Regions from separate parts of the Mus musculus genome. Here regions 1, 3 and 4 are each reported to be linked to region 2. Evidence: microRNA targets listed by miRTarBase, many of them from high-throughput screens and not tested one by one. Region 2 holds a microRNA gene; each other region holds the end of a gene's coding sequence.

What was found. The annotated mature microRNA mmu-miR-743b-3p reads GAAAGACAUCAUGCUGAAUAGA and lies in region 2 at 3,833-3,854, opposite strand. An mRNA with a match to its seed (bases 2 to 7 or 8) in the 3' UTR can be bound and repressed. Matches are read on the target gene's strand: a 7mer-m8 pairs with bases 2 to 8, a 7mer-A1 pairs with bases 2 to 7 and ends in A, and an 8mer does both.
Region 1: the mRNA of Lix1 is a reported target of mmu-miR-743b-3p. Seed matches in the 3' UTR shown: 8mer at 5,673-5,680.
Region 3: the mRNA of Cd8a is a reported target of mmu-miR-743b-3p. Seed matches in the 3' UTR shown: 8mer at 6,303-6,310.
Region 4: the mRNA of Opa3 is a reported target of mmu-miR-743b-3p. Seed matches in the 3' UTR shown: 8mer at 4,466-4,473.

The regions. Positions count from the first base shown.
Region 1 is chr17:17,456,400-17,463,524 of GRCm38, reverse strand. It overlaps Lix1 (limb and CNS expressed 1), which reads right to left. Exons shown (of 6, transcript NM_025681.2): 6 at 4,138-6,419. The coding sequence ends at 6,132. Among named protein-coding and RNA genes, the nearest start is that of Gm41537, 31 kb to the left of the region's middle.
Region 2 is chrX:66,773,434-66,780,558 of GRCm38, forward strand. It overlaps Mir743b (microRNA 743b), which reads right to left and starts at 3,899; the gene lies at 3,823-3,899. Mir743 (microRNA 743) reads right to left here and starts at 3,385; the gene lies at 3,324-3,385. It overlaps Mir742 (microRNA 742), which reads right to left and starts at 7,004; the gene lies at 6,940-7,004. It also overlaps the pseudogene Gm14681.
Region 3 is chr6:71,376,530-71,383,654 of GRCm38, reverse strand. It overlaps Cd8a (CD8 antigen, alpha chain), which reads right to left. Exons shown (of 5, transcript NM_001081110.2): 5 at 4,484-6,795. The coding sequence ends at 6,744. Among named protein-coding and RNA genes, the nearest start is that of Cd8a, 6.7 kb to the right of the region's middle.
Region 4 is chr7:19,243,978-19,251,102 of GRCm38, reverse strand. Opa3 (optic atrophy 3) reads right to left here. Exons shown (of 2, transcript NM_207525.3): 2 at 4,286-6,349. The coding sequence ends at 5,952. Gm38499 (predicted gene, 38499) reads right to left here and starts at 1,668. Exons shown (of 2, transcript NM_001370864.1): 1 at 1,456-1,668.

The DNA of each region.
Region 1 (7,125 bases), not on the chromosome of region 2:
AGACTTTCAGCTTAACCCATTATTTTAACCCTGACGCACTCTTTTCTAACTGGATATATAGTTTCTGAGGTGTTTCTTTTCCCCTGTAAATCCTACTGTCAACAAGTGTGGCACCTGAAATGCCTGGGAGGAAGGTGCCTGGATGAAGATACAGCCCACTGAACCCTCCTTTCCACAGAGTGCGAGCCAAGCCCTATTGGCTTTTCACAGACAGCTGATAAATGGGATAAGGAGATACTGTCCTTGATTACACATGAAGGAATGAAAAAAGACCTCAAACAAGTTGACAACAAGTATGCACTAAATAAAAGACAAAGTTGAAGGAAAGTTGTCTTAAGTTACCAAACTTAATCTTTTTAAAAAATGTTCTCATTTATGATAAAAGGAACTATATTTTGGCATTTATGATACATGAAGTCTCCTCTCTTAGTTTTAAAAAGTTCATTTGCACTAGTGGTTTTGTGATCAAAGGCTTTTACCCAATAGACAAATAGGTAGAGATGGTAAATGGTAATAGATAGATAGATAGGTAGGTAGATAGATAGATAGATAGATAGATAGATAGATAGATAGATAGATGATAGGTAGATGATAGATAGATAGATAGATAGATAGATGATAGATAGATAGATAGATAGATAGATGATAGATAATTGATAGATAGATAGATAGATAGATAGATAGATAGATAGATAGATAGATAGATGATAGATAGATAGATAGATAGATAGCCCAGATCATTTTACTTATTAACTGAAAGGGTAAAACATCTCATTCTTTTTAATTTTAGGTAGGTGTAGTCTCAAATTGGCTTTTCAGTTTTTCTAGCAATCTGGAATCTCAATAGATCATCTGCGTTTTCAAGTTTTCCCTTTGGAAACCATCTTTCACCAAATACTGTGTATTTGCTTCCCAATATCACCAACGAATTACTTATGGGCTAGAACAGTGTTTGTGTAGACACAGTAGATCACTTCAGAATAGCATGGTTCCTACATTACATTATGACTGTCTACATCACAACTCACAGGTCAGCAAGGCAGGTTTAAGATTTTCAAATAATCCAGTCTCAAGTAGGGATGAATAAAGGATCTGGACTATTGAACTGTGAATTTTTTTTTTACTCCAACTGTTTGCATTTGTTGGGTTAACAATTACCCCTTTCATTTGGGAGCATTAGCAGCCACTGATAATGAAAGCCAGTGCCCAGCAGAAACAGACTAGAGGAAATTTTCTGACTCACTTGCATAGCACCAATTCATCAGTTCTGAAAATATATGAAGTGTGACTGCAGACTAATATGAGTGATTAGATTTTTGTGTGCAACAGAGCTCTTACATATAAATGAGCAACATCCCCTTCAGGAGTCCTCAGGGTGTCTGTCTGTGTGTTCCTATGTGATTGGTCTGGAAGCACTTTTATATTTCCCCTCTGGGGAGATCATTCTTTTGAATATCTTTAATAGGGCAGTTTGTCCTTGAAGGAAGAATTTGATTTTTTGGAAATGGTAAAATGTATTCATGGTACACATCTGTTGCTTGTGTCTACCCAGAAGTCTTTTTCCCAATTTCTGGTTGAAGAGACCACATTTCTTCTATTGTTTATGCTGTCTTTGAAGGTCTTTGAGAAGGAAATAGTTTTTAAATATCTTGGGAAATTGCCATTTTTTCCCTCTGGTAACTGAACCCATATTTTGCCCTCCTCCTTTTGCACTATGTCTAAGTTGTCTATATGAGCTTGACTTGACCACTGGTTGTAGTGAGACAGACAGGTAACACAGGTCTGACCACAACCATCAACTCAGAAGCAGACTTGGGACAAAAGCATTGTGGTGGTACTTGGTTCTTGGATTGGAACTGATAGGGTGACTTACTCATATGGCTACTATCATGTTGCATCAGGAAAGAATCACAGTAAAAATGGATCCAGAATTTAAGAAAGCAAACCCTGAGACATGCGCAATCATGCATACGTGTGTGCATAGCCATGAAAAACCACGCAAAGATGTCAAGTCCTGGTTTATTGTTCTGGTAGAAAAAGCCATTCTCTTTGTTTTGTTTGTTTTCAGAAATTTGACAGAAGAAACCATGACTAAATGGTGATAGAGAGTGAAAAAAAGACAACCAATCTGGACATGAGAAATGACCCCAGGGAGATGTTTTAGAATAAGGCCCGCTACCTAGGGCTGTTCCTTGTTCTACCTTTTGGATCTGGAAACCAAATAAGGGCCTTGCACATACTAGGCAAGTGCTTGATCTTTGAGATAAACCCAAATTTCTTGGTTTATCAGACTCAGGTTTTGTGGATCAAAATTTTAGGTACTCTATAGCTAAGTAGTCTTTTCTGGGAAAATCGCAACCAATTCTGGTCTTGCTCTTAAACACACACACACCACTCAGAGTTGGATTAATTTGTTTACAAATAAACTTATGGAATACAATTCATGCTGAAATTAGGAACTGCCTATAAATTGCAATCTAGTATTTCTCACTGGAAACCAGCATTCATTAGAAATCAAAAGCTGTAAGAGTGAAGTTCTGCTTACATTTCTACACCAGTTTTGCTCTCAGACAAAAATATGACCAAGGTTTACTTAGATTGAAAGAAGTGAGTTTTTGGCTCCTAGCAGGATGCTTGAAAGTCAGACCAAATGTTGGTGCCGAGGTGCTCTTTAGAGAGGAAAAACATAGCTCTTTGCCCCTTCTGCTAATTTCTAGCTTCCAGAAAGATACTCCTCTGTATGTTCTTACCTGAGAGGCCAGGGCTATACTGCTCAGTGAAGGATATATTAAGTGAATTCAGGCTGGAATATCAAAGACTGGAGTGTGGTCAGAAGCATGAAAAGAAGTATTAAATAACCTAGAACTGCCTAGAATTTGCTCAGTCGTTCTGCAATACAGTGGAACTTTTTAACAAACAAGGATCTCAGGTGATTCTGTGTAGATGTTTCACATACAGTATATAAAAAAAGGAGTCCACCCTGGGCAGAGTCTGGATCAGATGACTTGTTAGCTATATTGAAAAACACCGAGGAGATTAGACTAGTTTGTGATAGCATTTCCAAGGGTAATTAGGCCATGAGAGCTCTGACCTAACTAATGGATTAATGCCTTCACGGATTTATAATAGGATGGTATTGTTGGGAGTTCATAGGGGATGGACACTGGTTGGGGTATGTCACTGAAAGTGTGTCTGTCGGGGCTGTATTTTGCCATGGTTTCTTCTTGTATTCATCTTTTTTTGTTTTTTAGCTGTCAATGTAAACTGACCCTCCTCCCCTGTGTATGTGTGCGCACACATCTGTGTGTACACTTTTCCTCTTTTAGTTCGGAGTGACAGAGAAAACATGTTCAAGGAAAAGTATCTACTCATGTAGTCTAAAAGAGTTCTAAATTTTGGTTTGGGTCCAAGATCAAAGTGGGACAGTGGCTCTACAGGTTAGGTAATGGACTTGCATCAGTGATGACTAGAGAAAGCAGGCAGTAGCTGTCAACTATGCTGTATATTAGAACTGTCTGATGAAAGATATTCAAGACTGATGCATGGGCCATGCACCCAAACCGTCTAATTTCACCTTGAAACAGTCTGACCACTTAAAAAAGTTAAAGCTCTTTGGGTATTTTACATGCACAACCCAAAACACTAAGGTAGAGAAAATAAGTTCTTTTATATTGGAACCCTAGATGAATGCAGTATCAACACTCCAGACCATTTGCTCCAAGTTTCAGCGAAGAAGAAGGCTGTGATTTGAATTTTTATGGACACCACAAAAACATAAGGTGACAATGTTTGGGCTAGTGGTTACCTATGAACATAGTGAAAGGTGAGGAAAACTTTGATAGTCTGACATAAGCTATGAAGAAAGACACTGCGAAATAAAAATAAGAACTCTAAAACCTCTAGTCTATAGCCAACTACAATTGTTTTGACTGGAAACATTTTTCCCCCAAAGAAATAGGAGAGTTATAAACTTTTGGGGTTTCCCCCCCATTTGTTTATGCCCAGACTGAGGTGACCAGATTCTCAGTGAAGAACACATCCAAGGACTTGATTCTATTTCTTTTCTAGAAATAGTTAAGGTTAAGAGCAAAAGCGCACGTGAACCGTAGCTTTAAAAAAAAAAAATGGACAGCCAAATTCAGAATATTGAAGGAACAATGATTTTATTAAATCTGTAATGTTCTGGTACAGTTGCCAAAGTTTAGTGTCTAGTTTGTCTTAATTTCTTTCTCCATAACAACAAGGTGCATTTTGATTTTTATAAAAATTAAACCATCATGCCCCAAACAATACAATTCTTGATTTCAGAGTAATGGTAGTAATCTTAAAAATATGGTCTATGGCCAGGCAGTGGTGGCGCACGCCTTTAATCCCAGCACTTGGGAGGCAGAGGCAGGCAGATTTCTGAGTTCGAGGCCAGTCTGGTCTACAGAGTGAGTTCCAGGACAGCCAGGGCTACACAGAGAAACCCTGTCTCGGAAAAAAAAAAAAAAAGAAAGAAAAGAAAAGAAAAAAATATATGGTCTATGGGTTACTAGATCTCTCATATGAAGTGTAAAACTATGTATGCTTTTAAAATTGTGAGCTTCAAACTAAGGGTCAATGATGCTCTGGGCTAATCCATAAATTTTGGGGCAGGGCCATATGTTTTATGAAATTATTATATATTGCTATGAGATAGTCTGTGGCTTTTTATTCAATTTTCAGGGAGTTCATAGCAACAACAAGCACCACCTTCATGGCTCCATCTTCTTAGAGACTCCTTTATTCTTGTCCCTTTCTACAGTGCAGTGTTAAGAACAAGCGTGCGTGTTTGTCTTGTCCCTCTCTTAGGTTCCTCTGTGCCAGTGTTACAGACATGTGTGATACTCGGTTGGCACAATGCCCTGGCTGAAGTTGATTTGCTATTAGATAGGGCCAGCCATGGCCATAACCTTTGTTGCTTTTGCTGAAGTTTCTGAGAATATTCCAAGGAAAAATAGTCTACGTAATTTTCAGTTCAGAGAATTTGTACAGTGTCATAATTATAAAAGAGAGGAGAAGCTTGACCCACGCAAGCACTGTTCTTGCATCTAATCAGATATCAATCTTCTGAGGTGGACATTGCCAAACACAGTAAACATGCACTGCACGTAAAGATCCCAGCCAACATGGGGAAATGTGCTGAATTTGAAATGATAAAAAGTTTGTAAAAAAAAAAATGAAATAGAAATTTCTTCACTTAAAAATTTATTCAACACACACACAAATCCTAACTCCTTCTCAAGATTACAAAAATCTAAAGTTTTTTTTTCCTTAGAACATTTAGCCTCATTATGGGAAGTGATATGATTTTTAAAAAAATATCATTTTAAAATGAAATCATCTAACACTACACACCATCACCTTTTTAGGACATTGGAATAGGGCAGTTATGTACTTAATTTCATCCTGTCTGAGAAGTATATGTGATAGTGTTTGTTATTAAAGCTAATTTCAAAATATATAATGAGGATACAGTAATTTTCAGGAGGGTTCAAAACATGCTGAGTGTTGTACATTTTTTTTAAATCATCTGTACTATTTATTTACTCTTAAGTATTTAAAACATTGTTATAGGCCAGGTGGTTGTGGTAGATGTAGTTAATCCTAGTACTCAGAAGCAGAGCTCTGAGTTCAAGGCCAGCCTGATCTAAAGACAAGTTCCAGGACAGCCAGGGCTACACAGAGAAACTGTGCCCCCCCAAAAAAAAAGAAAAAAAGAAGTTATCATGATCCTTTCCCTAGTCCTGGCTGCTGTTTTCTCCAAGACTGCTCTACTGGACTGTTGTGTGAAGCAATGCATACAATTTAGCAAGGCACATATCAACTAGGTTTTTTAGATTAGATCAAACCCTGAAGAATGCTTTCTAAAGTAATTTTGTTGTCTTTCTTTTTATTCTGAAGTAGAATCCCTAAGGGAATGGTTGAAAACATACATGAAGTAGGAAGTTGGGATCGGGATCAGTCAACCCTAGCCTCCCATTCTGTGAACAGACTGTGTAGGAGCAGTACAGCCTTCAGGTACTGACTATCATGCTAAAATCTCTAACAACTTCTGTCAGGTAGATTCCTGATGTGAACGTCCTCAGGAAACCTGCCACCTGGCCTTGCTAATGATAGCCACACAGAGCCGTGAGGCTTAGCTGGTCATCACTGGGTGAGGAAGGGTCAGGGTCACTATAGATCTGAGTCAGGGCCAAGCTCAGGATTTCTTTTTTTTCTTTGTAAAATCGTAGTTCTTGTCCAGCCTTCCTGGCTTCCTCCAGCTGCCCTAGGGCTGCACGCAGCTCTTGAGAGAGAATTCCTGGTGATTCACGCTCCTTCATAATCCAGTCCAGGGCCATGTGGCTACGCATCTTTTCATCTAAAGAATATTGGGAATAGTAGGAGATGACTTCCTAGAACCAAGAAACAAAAATTCAGAGTGTCAATAAAGAGAAAGAAAGGTGCATGTGTGCAGAGCCTTCCATACCTCCCCAATCACATGGCTTTCAAACAAGTAACCCTAACTTTAAAAATCTGAAACGAGGGCTAGAGAGATGGCTCAGTGGTTAAGAACTCAATTCCCAGCAACCACACGGTGGCTCACAGCCATCATCTCTAAAGGGATCTGATGTCCTCTTCTGGTGTGTCTGGAAACAGGTATAGTGTACTCATATAAATAAAATAAATCTTTTAAAAAAATATGAAACCAATTTCCATTGACATACTTCTAAAAAGGAAATGATGAACTAATCTGGTCTTGCAAAGCCTGTCACTCCAGAATAAGTCAAAACATAACACTAAAAATTACAAAATGAAGCTCTAGAAAATGCAAGCCTGTCCTTGAAACTGTATTCCTGTAACAACTAATATAAATATAACTTAATTCTTCATTGAACCCTTAAGCCCAGTATCATTGCCTTTGACAAGACAGAAACAGGAAAGGAGCTACACAGACAAGTTGAGTTAGAATAAGATTTGGACATGCCTAGTACAGGAATGGGGAAGGACTCAGTCAAGGGGACTTCAGAACAAACAAGACTCTGAAACCCAAGACTCTACATCCTAGCTTCTGTGCTTTGGTGTGGAACACAGTCCAAGAGTGGGGTCTTGTGAGGAGAA
Region 2 (7,125 bases):
TACAATGCTCTAATTACCCTGATACCTAACCATAGAAAATCCAACAAACAAAAATTACAGAGCAATTTCCCATATAAGTATAGGTGTACCAGTTTTCAATAAAAAATTTGCAAACTGACTCCAAGAACATATCAATAATATTACCAACTATAATTAAGTTTAACAGATTAAAATTGATGAACACAATCCAGTACATAAACAGATCAAAAGACAAAAACCACATGATCACTCACTAGATGCAGAAATGACCTGACAAGATCTAACATCACTTCATGATAAAAGGTCTTGGGTAACTAGGGATACATGGGACATAATACAACACAATCAAGGCAGCCTAAACCAAACTTACAGAAGTTACCAAAGTAAAAGGACAGAAATTCAAACTATTTCCGTTAAAATCAGAAACATAAGAATATCCCTTCTTTCCATATATATTAAATATAGTACACACAAACAAACGGGCTCACAGAGACTGAACCACCAACCATGAAGCTTACATGAAATGGACCTAGGCCTCCTACATTTACGTAAAAGATGAGCAGCTTAGTTTTCCTATGGGACCTCTAGCAGCAAGAGCAGGGGCAGTCTCTGACTCTATTGCCTAACTCTGAACTCCTTTCCTATAACTGGGCTACTTTGTCTAGCCTTAACTGGGGAAGATGTGTCTAGTCTTACTGCAATTGTAATGCCAAGTCTGGTTGATGTCCATAGGAGGACTCCCCTTTTCTGAGGAGAAAGGGAGGAAGTGTGGCCAGGGCTTAGCATAAAGAGAAGAGGGGTGGATGGGGGTGAGGAAAAAGGAAGGAGTAATAGATGAGGGAAGAGCAGCCACTGTAAAGATCATTGTGGAGCTTCCACAGGAAGCTGTGAATAGATCTGCATTTACATGCAGCTATACAACTTCTAGGCATATACAGAATGGACTCTATATCCTACTACAGATAAACTTCCTCAACCCTGTTCACTGATACTCTACTTGTAACATTCAGAAAATTGGAACTACCTTGGAGTCCATAACAGATTAATGGATAATAAAACTTGTACATTTACACAATGGAATATTATTCACACGTAAATGAAGAACTTCATAGGTAAATGAATGGAACTAAAAATATGCTAATTGACTAACCTAGATCTCCAAAGCAAATGTGTTATGTTTTCTTTTATGTGTGGATGCTAGTTTGTTTTTATAGCTAGATAGCTAATGCTCAAAAGGACACCATGAAAACCCTCAAACTTAAGCTATTGCCAAGTCTTTTGGTTATTCTACACAAACTGAATATGGAGAAATCAAGCATTTGTCTCTGTACAGCATTCACCTCTACTAACTAGTATTGATAACTGAAGATAATCTATGCTGCAAGTTATCAAAGAAAAAAGATGATCATTAATCCAATTACAGACCATATGACCAATAACAAAGATATGCCTGCAAGGCATGCTGGTGAAAAAGTAGTACAAATGTTGTGGCAGAACATAACCTCTTTATAATAGGACTTAAGGCCCACTCCATGAGACAGAATTCACATCCAATTCTATACAATCAGTCAAAAACATGAGACTAGAAAGGCCGTGAGCCTAGAGAAAACCAGTTTTTCTGTAAAGGACCATAACAATAAAATGACTCCTAATGATATTCTATAGTATGTATAGATCAGTGTTTTCCTCAGATATCATCAAATATGCTTCTTTTTCTTGGAACAATGTGTAGAGAGTAAGGGGTATGAAATAATCATTCCTAAGTGGGAGGTCTTTATCAAACACCTTCCCTTGGGGATCAAGGAGTTGTGCTGAAGATGAAGCTGAAAGACAATGAGAGCCAGAGGTAATGGATAACATCAAGGAAACAAGACCTTCTATATACAACAGGACTGATGCACATATGAACTCATCCAGACTGTGACAGAATACACAGGACCTGAACAAGTTCAAACCAAACATGTTCCCATGAGTGAGCATGGAAAATGGATATGAATTCCCATCATTAACTAATAAATTATTTCCAATTGACAGCTACTTACAAAGAAAAATTGTTTTCTTCAATTTCATCTCACTGGGTATAGTAACCACATTTAATTGTAGGCTCTATGCCAAGAATTATACAGCCAACACAATATGAACTCAATTATATTTTGTAGGTATTCTCTGTCTCTCCTCTCTCTCTCTCTCTCTCTCTCTCTCTCTCTCTCTCTCTCTCTCTCTCTTTATGTGTATAATGTGTTTCTTGGGCATTTTAAATTATTCTTTATTCACTCATTTATCTTGCTGATTTTTCTAAAGGAAGATAAAGAAATCTGGTAGTGAAGGTGGGGAGGATCTCAGAGAAGATGGGGGATGTGAAATTGTGGTCAGGATATATCTTAAACATTTTCAGAAAAAAAGAAACAAAACAAATGTAGAAGTGCTGACTCTATCAACTCTATAACCTCTAATAATATTCATCACTTGTACAAGTTATGACATCAGGAAGGATGCCTGAACCCTGAACACACCTAGGGAATGCAAAACTCATTATACATCACCTTGCATATATAATTTGACATCTTCTTCCTGCATTCCAATAAGATGAATAACTCTGAGTACCAATAACTGATCATCACTCTCAGCTTAATACCCTTTCCTTCATTCTTGCCAGACCACGTGCCAAACTTAGGGCCTCAAGCATACAATCTAATTATTCTAAAGACTGTGCTTTAGGCTCTTAAAAGTATGTTTTTTAGCACATAAATAAATTGAATTTTCCTTCTGTATTTTATCGGACCTATGTGAATTTTTGAATAACAACAACAACAAAAAGCATGAAGGTGACAACAACACCATTAAAAACCCTGAAGGTGTCCTAGGGCCCAGAAAAGTCAAAGAACACCATAATCAGAAATGCTAGGATATTTGTACTTATACAAAAATCACTATGCTAAAAGTAATGAGACAGCTTGTTAGACTTATTCTACTCACACAGAAGAACTGGTTAACAGTTTAAGCAAATATGGCTCTGTATAGAATTTTAGCATGTAGGGCGGGCCTCAATCATGTCCTAATAGTATCCTATTTATCAATCTGCCTTAATGAGTATAAAACCTTAACATATATCATATTTATTCCTATCTTAGGGAATATTCCTTGTACATAACATACTATGTCCTACTATATGGTTGACTGCCAAACTTTGTGTTAATTCTCCAATCTATATGCGGCTATAAAGTTAACACTGGGAATCAAAATTGTACTTAGGTAACAGATTAGGACTGGTTACATTTTGTGTAACTACAGATAAAACACCCTGACCACATAATACCACCTGCAATGAAGAACACAATAAGCCCTACTCTACTCAGCTTGGTGTCTTTCATTCTTATAAACATGACAGGCACCAATCTGAATACAGCACTGCATACAAGAACTTTAATGAGAATGCTCTGCCCCAGATCCTTCATCTACATGTCACACAAATCATTCTGCCCCACTCAACATGAAAACTCACTTCTGTTTATATGTATATATTAGAAAACATTCCTACAGTAGGCTATGAGTTTCTAGTTCTTCACTGTATACTATGTCCTGGTCTCTATTTACAGTGTTGATTCTCAAATCTACATAGATAAAAGATGTATCATTTGTTGATTGTGGGTTTAGTTTCTTCTAAGTATTTTTTTCTTTAACCTACATGTTATAATTGTGTAAAAATTGAACATCTAAAATTATACTCTGGATAAATATGGATCCTGAGGGTTACATATGACTAATTACAATGAGGGATTCATGTCAAGTGTAACTGCACTGCACCACTCTGACCAATTAAGGCATAATAAATGAAGAATATCATGGGCCTTACTCTATTCAGCATGATGTCTTTCACAAATATTTCACATGATGGACACCAGTCTGAACACAGCACTGCACACAACATACTGCCCTCTCCCACTCCTATTTCAGTGTCCTGGACAAAAAGTTAAGTACTAGTTGCATGCTTTGCATCAGTATGACTGATGCTTCATCTTTTTTTCTCTACCATGTAGTAATAACCATCATATTTGAGGATCCTGTCTAAATTCACCTTGAGGATGTATGCTGTGAAGATAAATACAGTATATACTAGTTTTCATGAGCCTTCATCAATTCTTGTAGTCTAGTGTGATAGGTGAACACTAGATTTCTTTATTCACAGGTCCAGGAAATGACAAAATCCTTCACCTTTCATTTCTCCTTCTGAATGTTGTGATCCCAATTTTTTATCTCATTTTGCTGATATTAAATATCCATTAATAATAAACATATTACTTTTATAATTGCACTCTCTGACCATTTTGAGGCATGTGTACAACCTTAAGCACCTTTTAAGTCTAAAAAAGTGGGGCTTTAAATGAGAAATGATGAAAATGGTAGCAATCTCAAGGATGCCTTTGAAGACGAAGTATAAGGTCCAGGGTATACAAAGTAAGGAGCTTGTTGAACATTACTCACTCTGAGAGACCATGTGTACACGCACTTAAGTCTCACTGACATTAATGTGTATAGGGATTGACACTAAAAAGCTTTCAGGAGAAATAGTACTCAGCAGAGAAGAGCCCACCAACTGCTTTTCCATGGTCAGCACTGAAATAACATACATAAAACTTTCAAAATATGGACTAAGCAGGGCATGAATGAGAGAGAGAACAAAGGGGTTAGTTGATTAGAGTGGCTGAAGGGAAGAAACGAAAGGGGAGAATTATAAAATATTTTAATTTAAAAAGCACTTAAAAATTAAAATGAAACTAAACTTATTTTCCATAGTGCTATGTCCCTAATTTTAAATATTTTCACCTATGAGAAATAGGAATTAGATGAAAGGTTCCCCCTATATCTTCACCTAAACAATGTCCTGTGAAGGTAGCTACAATCGATCTTAGAATCAGAAAATACTCTTGCATGTGCATCTATGTTCTTACATTTACAATGACAGTACTTTATGAGTATCCTTATATTGAGAGAGATACCCCAAACTGTTTAAACTGTTTAAACCCTTTTCTTAAAGAGACTTCCTCCACTGCCAGAGATCTTGAATAGCCTCCTGGTCAGTCATCCGGAAACAATTCTTCACATAATTAATGAACTTGGCTTCCACTTTGGGAAGAGAACCGCCTTTTTCTATACTTGCTTGCATTTTTGCCTTAATGTCTTCTACAGAACTAGGTCCTTTTGGTGTTTTAGGAGTCTTTTCCTGTTTTTTGAAGGACTCTTGACCCTTTGATCTCGGTGTTGACGGTTTTAAGTCTTTTCCATTTTGGTTTGATTTTTGTGCATTTTTGGCTGGGGTATCTCGTACAGATTTCTTCACTGGGACCTTTTCTTCAGTTTCCTCTTCATCAAAATCATCATCATCATCATCCTCATCATCCTCATCATCGTCCTCATCATCTTCATCAAGTTTTACTTTTTTCTGTATCCTTATATTGAGAGAGGTTAGTAGAAAGTGACTGGTATCTGTCCTATATCACAATGCACACACCAAAATGAATGGAGACATATCATCTCATCTGACTCTTGCATTACCAAGAAGTTTCAGGAGTCCTTAACTCAAGTTCTTAGGGAATATATATACTCTCCTTCACTTTCTATCTCTACCACTTCTGGATCAGAGAGATAAAAGTCCTTTAACTTTATTTAATTACTGGGAAGGAAATTATTTTTTTTTTCTTTAGATTATCTTCTTTCTTTACATTCTCTATTTTGAAAGTACCCATGAGGTGAAACATGGATAGTCTACACTATGTTGAAAAAGTAAGGATATGGGGCAACAAAGACTCAAACCGTTTCTGTGTTTAGTCTTTCATTAACACAGTGTACCTCATTTTCTTTTTATGAAAGCATAATTCTTAATTTTAGCACCTTGTTCTCCTTTTCCTTACCTAACATAGATGCTTGAATGCTGTCCCATGAAAGTGATTAAAAAGATACACACAATTGTATAGTAAGGCTTTGTGATCATCCTGAAAACCATTATCAGTGATCTTACATGGAAAGCACTAATACTACCTAGAACCTATCAAAAATAACTGAATTAAAGAGCAGTACTTTACCTGGAAGATTTGTCGGTAGTCCAACTGTCTAACAGCTTCTTGAGTGAGATATAACATAAAGCATGAAGATATGGAGGTATCATCCATGTAGGCTAATCATCCCAAGCAGTTTTCATCACTTCACCAATTACAGCATGACATATTAACATTGATTTATTTATTTTCAACTGTTTGGGAATACAAAATATACTTTGTCACCTTGCATGATAAAGGAAGACCTCTTGACCTATAGCCAGATAGCCAGTGTGACTTTAAGATTAATCAGTGATATACTTTGCAAATGACTTTTAAAAACTAGGTAATGAAAATCTTCTAAAAGAATCAGAATATTGGGAGCATAGGATGAGAATACAACACAATTGTACCTGTATATCGCTGTTCAATTACTGGAGAAAGTTACAGAATACAGAAGATAGGAACTTGGTCTATTTAAATTCAAATCACTGATACCATCATAATTTCAGTGACTTGAATTTAAATCTGTTTGGTTCTTTTTCACTTAGGGCCATATTTATAAAGGAAGACTCTAATTACTTGTAGCTTTTCAGTCCACTTTCGTGCACTCATCATCTAAGTTGTCACAAGATATTTGAATTGATATTCAGTTGGGCCTGAAATCATTGATTGGTTTTATTTCTGATATTTATATTCATGATCCCTATTGAGACTGGCATGCAATTTTCTGTTCTTATAATTTGTATAATTTGGGTTCTGTGCAAGCTAGAATAATGCTAACTTCCACAACATTTAAACTTAAAAAAAAAATGAGAGCATAGTTTCTTCAGGTACAAGGAAGCAGATTCTGGAGCCATAATAAGGATGTATAGTTTCTTCATCTTTACTACCCAAGGCCACAACAAATGAAGAACATGATGAGCTTTACTTTACCCAGCATGGTGGCTTTCACCTACACTTCACGTGATTAGCAACCATGTGAGTAGAGCACTGCCCAGGTACTCTAGAACCAGCCCATCTGAAGTCTTTATTTCAACATGTGAAATAAAATTGAATAGAACATTGAAGTAAGTCGTCAACAATAATTACTTTTTTTTTTTAACCACACATT
Region 3 (7,125 bases), not on the chromosome of region 2:
TTTGCCCGGCAGACTCCTTCTAAGGATGTAAGCTCTCTTCAAAGCAGCTTAAAAGCTAGAGAAAAAAAGTTTTCTCTGATGTTTCTTTATGCAGAAAGTATATGTGTGTGTGTGTGTGTGTGTGTGTGTGTGTGTATAAATATGTAAAATGTAACTTTTATTCTCCTGTAGTAATTGTTTTCTCTGAGGCTTACTGCCTCCATCTGCTAACCTAGGCCTACCTGGTCTGTCAAGTCTTTCTCTGATTGTCACTTTGCCACTCAATTAGTCATCACTTTCAAACACCGGTGATCCCTTCTACAAACTAACTTTACTTAAACTTAATTGTTTGGGAGTGATTTGGAAAAGGTAGGGGTGTGTGTGAGTACTAAGGTTGTGTCTCTATTCCAGCCAAATGAATTAAGGATGTGTGATAACGGCTAAGCCACACCACAACTAGAAACAGATACTGTCAGTAAATAGCACAGTCTCGGGGTTCACAGTGTGACCAAATATCCTACAACATTATATATAATGCATATATATTTAAATCTAGATTCTGTACATAAATTATAATTTTTGAGTGTATGTACATAGTAGAGCTGTGGAGAGGGAAGAGGTAGGTGTGTGTGTGTGTGTGTAGGTCAGAGGACACCCTTGGTTGGCATTCCTCTTTTGTGCTGCTTTGATTTGTATGGATTTGGTTTAGTTTGGTTTGCTTTGGTTTATAGGGTCTCACTGAGACTTAAAGGTCACCTTTAGACCAGGTTGTCTGGCCAGGGAGTTGCAAGGATCCTTGTCCTTGGTCTCCCCATCATTGCGATTTCAAGGATGCTAGTGATCAAGCACAGGTCCTCATATTGAGCTGGCTATCTTTCTAGCCTCCGAGATATATGTTTTATATACTTGTTAATTCCATATTGAGGCTGGATTCTAGCCAGCTAAGATTACAGCCTGAAACTTCTTGCCCCTTGGTTCAAAAAAGGTATTACAGCCATTGTCCCTGGGGTCTTGTAGAAACAATGCTTCAGATTGGCAGTTGAGCCTGAGGTTAACAGTATGGTAGGTACTGTGGTGTTCTCCTTGGGCATGTGAGGAACAAACAGATTGGATGGCCCTGGCCATCTGTGAGCCCGAGTCTAAATTTACAGCCCTCCCTTAGCATACAGTAGGCTGCATGGCCATCAGTTTGACTTCCTGTTGTCTTCTGAGTCAGAAGGCTAGCTCTGATGAATAGTCCTCATTTTTAATTCCAAGTGCTTTTTACCATTTTACTTGTAAGTTGCTTAAATCTCTTGTGACAGAATACCCAAGAGAACAATTCAAGGGATAAAGGTTTGCTTTTAATTTTATTTTTATGTACATGAGTGTTTTCTCACATTTATACATACCTGTGTGATGTGTGTATGTACAGTGCCCGAGGAGACCAGAATAGGCATTAGATCTCCTGAAACTGGAGTTAATAGTTTTGAACCCATTTGTGGGTACTAGACTCAATCCCAGGTCCTCTGGATGAACAGCCAGCGCTCTTAACCACTGAGCATCTTCAGCCCAGGGAGAACAGTTCGTGGGGTTCAGTGTATGTTTACTTGACTGTTTCTGGGCTCCTGAAACGTGGCTGCAAGAGCCTGTGAGGACAGCTGTTTGCTGTATGGTAGAGAAGATGTAGAGTAGAGCATCTTACATCATGGACAGGAAGGAGAGAGCATCCAAAAAGTAAGATGCAGACCTCAAAGATACGTTCCCAATGACTACTTCCCCTCACAAGGCAGGATGTTCCACCACCTCAATAATCTACTTCGAATCCACCAATAGATGAGGTGAGAGCACTCATGATCTGAGCATCTCTGGGAAAACCCCCGTAGACACATAGACCAGTAAGGTCTAGCTGCTCCTGATCCAAACCAGCACAAGAGAGCCGGCTGATTCACACTTGATGTTGTAGCACTGGGGGCAAGAAATGGGGAACATGTGAGTTCAAGATCAGACCTTGCTATTAAGTAAGATGTTAATTCCTGCCGCCCCCCACCCAGAAGTGGATAATCCTTTCTGTGGGTGCATCACTAAAAAACAAACAAGTACAGAAACAAAAAACAAATTTCCTTTTAGAGTCTTCCAAGTTTAACCCCTCTGTGCTGTTCAACTTCTGTCTTAGGGTTTCTGTTGCTGTAAAGAGACACCACGAACACAGCAACTTTTATAAAGGAAAGAATTTAATTGAGGCTGGGGTCCAGTTCAGAGATTTAATCCATTATCATTGTGGTGGGAAGCATGGTGCCATGCAGGCAGATGTGGTGCTGGAGAAGGAGATGAGAGTTCTACATCTGGATCTGCAGGCAGCAGGAAGACAACAAGACATACTAGGCCTGGCTTGAGCTGAGAACTCAGAGCCTACCCCCAGTGACACTATTCCTCCAGCATCACCACACCTACTTCAACAAGGCCATACCTCCCAAGAGTACCACTTTTTGTAAACCTACGGGTTCCATTTTCATTTTCATTCAGGCTACCACAGTATCTAAGCTGAAAGTTGAAGAGAAAATGTACAGGAGGGGGGGGAATGTGTTTATGCATATGGATATACATATATATGTATATATGCAAACACACACATATATATGAACTTTATTACAAAAGGAAAAAAAAAGATTCCTTTAAAAATCCTTTGAGCTGGGCTGGAGAGATGGCTCAGCGGGTAAGAGCACTGACTGCTCTTCCAAAGGTCCTGAGTTCAAATCCCAGCATCCACATGGTGTCTCACAACCATCCGTAATGAGATCTGATGCCCTCTTCTGGTGTGTCTGAAGATAGCTACAATGTACTTATATATAATAATTAATGAATCTTTAGACTGGAGCGAGCAGGGCTGACCGGAAGGAGCAGAGATCCTAAATTCAAATTCCCAGTAAACACATGATGGCTCACAACTATCAATACAGCTACAGTGTACCCATAAAAAAAAAAAGTCCTTTGAGCTTTCAAAATCCTGCATAGAGCCTCTGGGACACTCTAGTGTGAATCTGGAGGTGCCTCGCCTACACCCGAGCGTGTATTGTCCTTTGCTGAGCGCTTCTCTTTCTGCTAACTCAGATACACCTGTGTTAAAATCTCTTCAGAAACTCCAGCCATGCTTCATACTAGCCCGTCTTGAAGGTTTTTTTTCAGCAGTGAAGTCAAGAATGCCAAGGTCAGGACTAGCAAGACTGTTCAGTAAGTAAAGGCATTTGCTGCCACACTGGACAGAGTTCAAGCCATGTGAGCCATATAGACCAGGCTGCCCTTGAACTCAGGGGGTCTGCCTGCCTTCTCCTCCTGAGTGCTGAGACTGAAATCATGATACCAAGGCGCCTGGTAGTGGAAGACCAGTTAGCTGGTGGTGGTGGTTGCTGGTGAGTTTCTGTTTTGACCCAGTCCTGATTATGTGGGTGATCTAACTCTGTAATGAGCACTTGGCGCTTGTATGTATGCTCCCTACCCTAGTATGCATATTTTATCTCAACTAAAAATTGAAGATTTTGTGATTGCTGGTGGGAGAATTGTCATTTCATCTGTCACCAAGAGAAAAGGAAGGCAACAGAAGAGTTGATCAATCCATTTTCACCAATGTGATAATGGACCGTGGTAAAGGAGAAAGACCTGATAATTTTACTTTCAGGTACATACCCTAAAGAAAGACGTGTCAGGAGTGGGCAGTGTAGCACAGTTGGTAGAATGCTTGTATGGTTTATACCTGCAGTGTCGTGGATTTGGTTTAATGCTTGTATTATGTCATTTGAGTTCCCAAAATTGCATGAGAATCACATGTGTAAGACACTGAGGGTCCCTGCCCTTGGTTGGTTTTGATTGTTAAATAAAGTTGCCAGTAGCCAATGGCTGGGCAGAGAGAAAGAGAGAGAACAGAGGCAGGACTTTAGGACTCAAGGGCAAGGGGACCAGGGAGAAAAGAAGAATACCATGCCAGGAAGGGAATAAGATCTAGGCTTGAGGGCTGCAGAGTAGAGAACATGCCAATCATCTAAGAGCTAGGAATTGCCTCACCCACACTGGGTCTAGAGTAGCAAAGATGGAATATAGATTTTAGTAAGTAATAATTCAGGAATATCAGAGGGGAGGTGTTAGTAATGTGAAGTTTGGGAGTGGCCCAACCATTGAGCTGATTAAGGCATATTAAATATAAGGCTCTGTGTGTGTGTGTGTGTGTGTGTGTGTGCATACTCATCTTTCATTCGGGAATCCAGAACACTGGGGCAGGTAGGGAGGAACTCGAGCTGCCACTGACATGAATATTTGAGAGGTTAATCACCTACAGCCACACACAGCGGCACATAAACAGGGCATAGCGGCACTGCCCCCGAATCCCAACACTCAGAGGTGGTGCCAGAGAGGTCATATATCCAAGGTCATCTTTGGCTACACAGGGAACTCAAGTCTACCCTGTACATGAGACCCTTTCTTGAACAACAAAAACAAATGAAAAAAACAAAATAAAAATCCAGAGATTTGTGCAAGTTTAGTAGTGTAATAGTAGGGGGAAGTTTGAAACAATTTAATACTAAATGGATACAACCAAACTATGAAATGCTATTTAACCATTAAATGATAATATACATGTTTATTTACTAAATCTGCTTACAAAAACTGTTGTGTTTTAAAACCCAGGGTGTAATCTTTCTTACATATATATGCATAGGAAATAATCAGGTATAAAATGATAGTAACAATAGATAGAGGACCATGGGTGACTCTTAGTTCCTTCAGGTTTTTATTGCCTATTATTTGTTACTTATATGGTACTGTGAGAGGAAATTAGCTCTGGGGCAGCAGTTTTGACAGTCAGCGTCTTCCTCCACGTCTAGTCTGCCTCTTTACATCTGCCTTCCGGGGGTGCTAAGGAATGTTCTCCAAGGATTCTATGTTTATAGAGTATAAAGCATGCTGGTGATCCCAGGAGCACATCCAAGTCTCATGTTTAGACATGGGAGAGGGCCTGCCTGCAGCTTCTCTGATGCCTGAGTCGTATCTGTCAAACCTCACCCTCTGCTGTCCAAGAGCAGAGAGAATCATAATTCTACAGGAATTTCACAGTGGTGGTTTGCCACGCACTCTGGTGGAGTCAGCTTGACAGGCGAAAGCTTGGAAGCTATCTCATGAGGAAGAGTTTCACGAAAGCTCCCTCCTGGAGTCTGGTGAAAGCCACGCTCTCCAGTTGGGTCAGTTTGACAAGCGGAAGCTTGGAAGCTGCCCACAAGGAAAAGAGTTTCACAGAAATTCCCTCCTGGAGTCTGGCGTTCCCTCTAAACCATAAATTAATTTTCCACTCCCGCGTTAGTCTAGTGTATGGATCCATGTGCCCTCTATTAAGCATTACCCTATTGTAAGTGCCTTTTAAGATTGAATTCTGACATAGCTAAAGCCCCCCCGCCCCCCCCCCCAGCGCCCCCATTGTTCCAAGATCCCAGATAACAGCAAGGAGTTTAACCTATTCAGTAACTAATTAAGCATTACAATAAACAAGGCCATTAGCTCATCTGGTCTGCAGAAAGAGCCTGGGAATCTCACTGAGATAAAAATCTTTAGTACAGGCTACATTCCATGCCAAGAGCAAGTTGAGATACTCTCCTGATAAATGGGGATTCTCCAGACAAGATAAGATTTAACAAGGCCTAGGAATTTAGGGGTCCGTGACACTACATTATTCTTGAGGCCTGCCAAGAGTAATTACCCCCTGGTGCTTTTAACACTAAAGTGTGAAATTCTTACCTGGCACTAGGCTGATGATCCTAGGCAGGGCTGATAATCTCTATTGTAAACATTTATCTAGTTCCTGCAAATTCCTTTCGAAGTCATTCTCTTGTATCTGGTAAATTTCAGTGTACCTTGTCTGGTGTGACATATCGCCCCTGGAATTTTTTCTGTATTATAAAAAGTCCGAGGTTCGACCTGACATTACATTCAGATTCAACGCCTCTCCTGTGTGCATCTGTTTGTCAGTTTAATCCTACGCTTTGCCCACCTGCTCGAGAGACCCATTCCACGCAGACACAGGGACCCAGAGGGTCTGCGGCAGTGGTTTGAATAGCTTTAATTGGATTCTACTACAGCCTTCAGTGACAGAGGGGAGTGTTTTCCAGATTTACCGTACCGCTCCACTAGACTGCCAGCAATTTCCCAGTTCTTACAAGGGGCTCTGATGTCCAGGTGCACCGCTAAAGGCAGTTCTCCTGACTTTGATTTGTTACATCTGATGCTCACAGCCAGAGCTGAGCAGATCACAGATTCATACCACTTGCTTCCTTGCAGTTTGAGGCACAAGCATGCTATACTAAAGACACATACCTAAACAGAGAGCTCAGGGGATGGGGGTGAGATCCCTGCACCAGTCAGTGAGGGTTCCTCTAGCTTGGGTTCTCTCCGGGTCTACAGATCCTGCTGTTTCCACCTCTGATCTTCAGCTTCTTCTATATGATGGGCAGACAGGAGATTTATATCAAGTGGGTGCTGAGGCCACCAGCGACATGGACCCCGAAACTGGAACTAGCTCTGGTGTTACAGTCTGCTCATTACTCCCATTGTATGCATACAAGTATGCTTTGTGTCAAAGAGAATTCATAAAGAAAAAGGAACTGTCCCCATCACACCCCTACTAAAACAATACAGAGGGCAATACATAAGACAGCAGGAAACTTGAAAAAGGAGGGCCTGGCCTCTTGCAAGAAGAGATCTCTGAAGTCATGTAGTAGTTGTAGCTTCCTGGCGGTGCCATTTTACACAATTTTCTCTGAAGGTCTGGGCTTGCCTTCCTGTCTGACTAGCGGCCTGAAAGAGACAAAGATACACAAGAGATCAACTATCATTGTGGCTAGAACCTCTTTAAAGTAGTACCAGCACGCGAGCGCGCGCGCACGCGCGCGCGCACACACACACACTCAGTTTTTGATGGCTTTGAGAATTTGTCCTTAGACATTAATGAATGAATTACCTCAGCCACCCTTTCCTTTCGTCCTCAAGGCACCCAAAGAGGGGTCTGCACTGCTCAGGAGAGTTTAAAGACCCTGCCTCAGGTCACACAACTCTTAGGCAGCTGAAGTAGCATCTATGCCCAGTTAGGCTTCCTGGAACCTTCCTGAGTCCCAGGAGGGTGAGATT
Region 4 (7,125 bases), not on the chromosome of region 2:
TATCTTAAATGCACAGAACACATACATGCATGTACATATTCAAATATTTATATAGTTCTTATTGATTTATTATTTTATGTGTATGAATATTTTGACAGCATGTATGTCTGTGGACAAAGTGCGTGTGTGGAAGAGGGCACTGAATTCTCTGGAACTAGAGTTAGAAATGGTTGTGAGCCACTGTCACTATGTGGGTGCTGGGAGTTAAAAATTGGTTCCTCAGTAAGGTTTTTTAGACAGGGTTTCTCTGTATAGCTCTGGCTGTCCTGGAACTCACTTTGTAGACCAGGCTGGCCTTGAACTCAGAAATCCGCCTGCCTCTGCCTCCCGAGTGCTGGGATTAAAGTTGTGCGCCACCACACCGGGCTAGCTCTTCTTTATGAAGTAGATTACCACAAAAGAAGACATAGTAGCAAGTCCTACTGAGTAATGACTTTGCCAAACTGTCACTCCAGAGACATATACAACATTACACACATCATGTTACAGATACAGATGTGCACAGAATTACACAACCCTGAGATCCACATACAGGGAGAAGAGAATTACTTTACAGTGTGCCCAGGATGGGTTACATAAGCCCCTCCTTCTCAAGGATTGCAGTGCAAGCTCAGGCCTTCTGAGGCTGCTGGTAGCAGCTCCTGTGGGGTTTGAGAATCAGGAACACAGACGAGTGAGCTAATGCTTGACACAAGGGGTCCAGGGCCTTAGTGACCTCCTGTTCCAGAGGTTTAGTTTGATTGCCATTTTTATTTAGTTTGTTTTTCAAGACAGGGTTTCTCTGTAACCCTGGCTGTACTGGAACTCACTCTGTAGGCCTGGCTCGCCTCAAACTCAAAGAGATCCTCCTGCCTCTGCCTCCTGATTGCTGGGATTAAAGGCATGTGCCACCACCTCTCTGCATCTTCGAGACAGGGTCACTCTACATGCCACTGGCTGTCCTGGAACTATGTAGATCAGGCCAACCTAGAACTCAACAGAGCTCTGACATCCTCTACCTCTCCAATGCTGAGATTAAAGGTGTGTGACAGCCAGGCATGTTGGCTCATGCCTTTAATCCCAGCACTCTGGAGGCAGAGGCAGGCGGATTTCTGAGTTCGAGGCCAGCCTGGTCTACAAAGTGAGTTCCAGGACAGATAAGGGCTATACAGAGAAACCCTGTCTCGAAAAACAAACAAAAAAAAACAACAACAAAAGGTGTGTGCCACCACACTTGGCTCCCTGAGAGGGTGACCTTTGTCTGCCCTTGCTGTGTGGGGTCAGTGAACTTCTCCTGTAAAGAGCCAGTGGGTAACTAACTGTTCTCAAGCATCTCAGAGTCTCAAATTCTGCTAAAGTGGCCATCGACAATGTGAAAGTGAGTGAGCACAGCTGTTGTAATAAACATTTATTGACTGCTTCAGCTCAGGGGCCTAATCTACTAAGCTTTGCACTGTTAGGATTGATTGCTCTTACCTGCGTCTTCATCCTATGGAGTTTTCAACTTTGAACTTGAGGCACCTCCACAGTAGCAGGATGTCAGTTTATGTAGTGCCGGGGACTGGATTCAGAGCTTCAGGCATGCTAGACAAGAGCCCTGTCTACGGCATCACTTCCCCAGGGCCAGCTCTTTACCCATATGCTGGAATGGCAGCACCATGGTGGCTCTGCTGAGCTTTGTCTTGTCCCTGGCTTATCCAGACACGGGGAGAAAACTGGACACAGTAGCTGCTCCATGCACATGTGTCCAGTTGGTGGGTGATAGCACCCCAGCCACTAAGGCAGGCTTTTCCTGCCAGTCTATCTATCCACAGTGCTCACACTGGCCAGCCAAGGGATGGCTTTGGGGCCAGGGGAACCGGCTGGAGCTTGTATAAGATTCATTCTCTTATGGTGGCTTGTCCGATGAGACCAACAGCCAGGGATGGGACAGGCAGAGCCACCAACACTGGCTCAGGCTGTGTGAGCTGGTATGACAAGGTTCTGTCTGCAATGCCCTGAAGCCCCAAATCACTCAGAAGGGAAGAGTCTAGGTCCAGCCCCATCTACTCACATAACCAGGTAATGCTGAGTGTGTGTGCAGTTGTTCCTCACTGGGTTGTAAATCCATGAGACTGGGGCTGCAGCTGACTGGGGGATGGGGACCCAGCATGGCAAAGAACAGGGCAGCTTTTCTGGTTAAGATGGACTTTAAGGTCATTTTGAGAAGGACAATGACTCCCCAAGTGCTGAGATTCAGAGGTACGCGCTACCATGCCTGCTGCAATTCTGGGTTGGTTTAGACAGGGTCTTCTGTAGTCTATTTATTTATTTATTCATTTATTTATTATATCTAAGTACACTGTAGTTGTCTTCAGACACTCCAGAAGAGAGCATCAGATCTCATTACAGATGGTTGTGAGCCACCATGTGGTTGTTGGGATTTGAACTCAGGACCTTTGTAAGAGCAGTGAGTGCTCTCACCTGCTGAGCCATCTCTCCAGCCCCCTAGCAGTCTTTCTTGTTTAGCAGGAGTACCGAGTGTTGGGATTAAAGGCCTATGCCATCCCTGGAATTAAAAAAAAAGTTCTCATCACATTTTGTTTATTTATTTATTTAGTGTGTTTATGGTTGTGTGCATATTTCAAGGTAAATATGGAGGTCTAACAACCGAGGGAGTCAGTTCTCTCCTTCTACCATCAAGTCCTGGGGATCCAACTCAAGTCATCAGGCTTGGTGGCCAGTGCTTCTATTTGTCAGTCTATAGGATTCTTTTCTTTTTTCTTTTCTTTTCTTTTCTTTCTTTTTCTTTCTTTCCTTCCTTCCTTCCTTCTTTTTTTTTTTTTTTTTTTTTTTTTTTTGGTTTTTTGAGACAGGGTTTCTCTGTGTAGCCCTGGCTGTCCTGGAACTCACTCTGTAGACCAGGCTGGCCTCGAACTCAGAAATCTACCTGCCTCTGCCTCCCGAGTGCTGGGATTAAAGACGTGGGCCACCACGCCCGGTCTTTCTTTCTTTCTTTCCTTCTTGTTAAAGATTTATTTATTTATTTATTTATTTATGTCGCATATGTGAGTGCACTGTCCCTGTTTTCAGATGCACCAGAAGAGGGCATTGGATCCCATTACAGATGGTTGTGAGCCACCATGTGGTTGCTGGGAATTGAATTCAGGTCCTCTGGAAGAGCAGTCAGTGCTCTTAACCTCTCAGCCATCTCTCCATCCCCCTTTGATTTTTTTTCAATTAAAAGCACACACAAATAAAATTGAAGACAACCAGCTTCATTCATAAATTTATTGTCCTCCTTCTCCCTTTGTGGGGATATGTAACATTGCATGAGTAGGGAGTCAGAGCCATGAAAGCTGCTCTGGCCTCCTGCCCCAGAGGCTTCTGGAACCACACACCACACCACGGTGGCTTCCTGCACTGTCATCATGGGAGAGGCTGCCATGTCCACATACACCAGGACCATGTGAAGGCTCCACTGGGTCAGGGTGGGCCCCGAGGCCTACTTTCATGCTTGGGTGACCCAAAGGTGACATTTCCTCTTGGTGCCTGTTTCCTCCCAAGCAAGCAGAGAAACCATTCCTATGGGGCTCTTCACCACCAGTGAGGCTGGTCTGTTGGAGTAAGGACTGACCTGATGGAGCTCAGCGCCCTCACCGGTCTTGGCTTTGCCATAACTGCTATAGACTGACCCAGGGCAAGGTGGCCAGGGCTGGCCCTGGAACTCTTAGTGACTCCACAGGGGTAACCATGGCAAACAGGCAGCTTTCCTGGCTCCTCACTCTGTCCTCCCCTCATCACCTAGCCATGTGTGTCCTCTGTCCCTAGTTCAGCTTTCACCTAACTCAGCTGCTCCTAAATTTAAAGACACCAACTTCAGCTTCTTCTAGAAGAAACTGAGGTACAGTTTCAGTATTGGTTTCAGTCTGGGGAATCCTGGGGATGGGTCATTTTCATCCCCTTGGGGGAGCCCTACAAGTGCCACCTCTAGGGACAAGGGCCAGGGAGAATGAACCTGTTACCTATAGTCAGACATCTTGGGTGTGGCCTGGGGCTTTTCTGATAAGAGGGCAGAACCCAGTGCCTCTGGCCACTGGGAAGAGGTTGGGCCTTATCTCATCTTGCCCTGCAGCCAGAATCTTCTGGGTCCTCTGGTCCCTCCTGAGCTATGGGGTCTTGGCCAAGTCACCTAGCTTCCCTTTTCCTGAGCCTTAGTTTCCCAATGTGGGAAGAGTTCACAGGATGAGTCTCGGCTCCTTTTCCCCCAGAGCCAAAACCTCTGCCTTTCCTCCAAGGTTGTCTTTTTTTCTTTTACTTTTGTTTTGTTTTTTTGGAGACAGGGTTTCTCTGTGTAGCCCTGGCTATCCTGGAACTCACTCTGTAGACCAGGCTGGTCTCGATCAGAATCCACCTGCCTCTGCTTCCCAAGTGCTGGGATTAATGGCGTGTATCACCACTGTCTGGCTTGGTTGTCTTTTTTACTTTTTGCCTTTTTTTTTTTTTTTAAAGACAGGGTCTCTCCCTGTGGTTCAGCAGGCTGTCCAGGAACTCACGATGGGACCCAGGCTCATTCCTGCCTCAGCCTCAGAGTGCTGGAATTTCAGATATGAGCTACCAAGCCCGGATTTCTCTATTGTTAATGATCACTGGCCCAGTTTGAAGGTCCGTATTAATTATGCCCCTCATATATCCTTAGGAGGCCTCCTTATTCTGCAGCTCCATCAGGAACTGGACAACCATGACAGTGACTGCTGCACCCACAATCCTTCTGGAGCTATAGTGGTTAGCCCAACCCCAGAAGCCATGAGTAGGCTGCCGGAAGAGCCAAACAGCATAGTAGGGGCCTTGCATTTTAAAATGGCAGAAGGCAGCAAGCTGAATAGAGGGCCTTCAAAAGAAAACTCCATGTCTGAATCCTGGGGCCTGTGTGTCTCCATTTAGAAAAAGGGTCTTCAGAGATGTAATAAAGGCTCTTTCAATATGGTCATCCTAAATTTAGGGTGGGTCTTGTATTCAGGGCAGGTGTCCTTGCAAGAGACAGGTGGGGGAAGAGAAAGCCACATGAAGACAGGACACAGAGTCTAGGAGATCTGGGGCCCCTGAAGCCAGAAGAAAGTGGGGCCCAAACACCCTGACCTCTGCCGCTGGCTTCCAGAACGGTGGGAGAACAGGTTACTCTGTTTCCTCCATCACATTCCCAGCAGTAAGTCATGTCTGGGGGGATCGAGCAAGGAAGGTGGGGCAACAGAAAGGGTAGAGGGACCCAGACCTAAGGGGTATGAAGGGTCAGACAGGTGTGTGTGTGACATCTAACCCACCCAACTGAAAAATACCACAGAAGGACAGGAGGAAATATGTGCCACCCGAAACAAGGTTCAGGGACATTTCAGGATAGGGCAGCGGGGCTGCGACTGAGACAGGTCAGAATCGAGCCAGCTAGGATCCGTCTGTGCCTAGGGAGGAAATGGGGTAATGCCACAGGCTGAGGAGTAAGGGGATCTATACAGGCGTGATCCCCTGGGGACCTCAGAGGGAGAATGAGGAGAGAGAACGGGAACATCAATTGCACTCTGCTGCCTCCATGGGAGCTACATTGACCTGAGGCAAGGCTCAAGGTGGCCTGTGTTCACCGAAGGAAGGAGGCGCTCCAATGATGGGCAGGTGACCTTGTCTATGTCATGATCAGACTTGAGCCCTGGTTCCATCTTTTGCCTTTGCCAGAGCAGTGGAGAGTCAGGTGTCTGAGACCTTGAAAGTCCAATGAGGGGCTGAGGGCTCTGAGTCAGAGACTGGATGGGCTCTGAAGGCTTCTGCTGAGTGCTCCCTGGGGAAATGCCCAGAACCTGTCAGTAAGGGGTGACCACATGTCACAGCTACATCAAGGTCCTCGTGGTTTCTGCTAGGCCAGAGCATCCCGGGCCAGGAGGTGTGAGGAGAAGGCTCTATTGGAGGCCACATGGTCACAAACAAGTCCAGGCCTTAGCAGCTGGCTATTTCTTGGAAGATGCTGCCTGGCACTTGGAAGTACAGTGAGCATTGCAGACCTGACCACGCACCTCCTGCAGCTCCTCCCGCAGCTCCTCCAGGGCACTCAAGGAGGGCATCGCTTGTGCCTGAGCCTGCAGCGCCTCTAAGGCCAGTGCCAGGCGGCCCACCTCATCCTGCAGAGCGTTCCAGGCTGCCCGCTGTTCCTCCTCCTTATTGCGCTGCTGAGTCTGGTGGCGCCAGTACTCCAGGACCAGGCAGCCTCCGCCCACAATGAAGATGGTGGCCTCGCCCAGCAGCTCAGCACCCAGCTCTGCTGCTGCCTCCTCATTCAGTGGCTTGATGGTAGTGCCCCGGAAACCCATTATGCGCATCTTCGTCCGCATCTCCACCCAGTGGTACACTGCAGGGGAGAAAGAGGTCAGGTGTGTTCCGAAGCTCCACCCCCAATACTTTCTTGTTCCAGTTGAAGTCAGAGACCAAGGTGGGAGTGGGCAGTCACCTTAAGCAAGACCTGTCCCTTGCTTCACTCAGGGAACATGGAATCTCCTCCCAGGGTGACCTGGGGGCTTTGTTCCCTCAGTAATAAGGTCAGCACCCAGGGCTTCATGCATGCTGGACACACCTGCTACCACTAAGCTATAGCCCATCTTTTGTTTTAGATACATGGATGGATGGATGGAGCTCACACTGGCCTTCAGCTCCCTACGTGGACAAGGATGACCTTCAGCCTCGGACTGTTTTTCTACTTCCTCATGTGCTGGGATGACAAACATTACGTCCTATTGCTTTTTACTTTTTTCCAGATGTAGCACAGGCTGACCTTGAACTCATGATCCTCCTGCCTCTGCCTCCTGAGTAGCTGGGGTAGTTCTGCACCATAAGGATCAGGCCTAGCTCCAGAGACATCCATCAAAGCACAAGAAAATTCCAGAGAGCAGCAATGAGCAGAAACCTGACAAGAGCAGAGGTCCTCAGATGGGAGGCCATGCCCCTAACAGGTCACAAGCACCTGCTCCCCGACTGTTAAGAGCACACAAGCTATAAAGGCCCAGCAGCCACACTGGCACTCTGTAGGTCACCACACAGAGTGGCCAGCTGTCTTTCTCCACGGCAGTCGCCCACTTCTCTGGCAAGAGACCAACTCCCTTTCTTTTCCTTCCCAGAATGCAGAGGGAG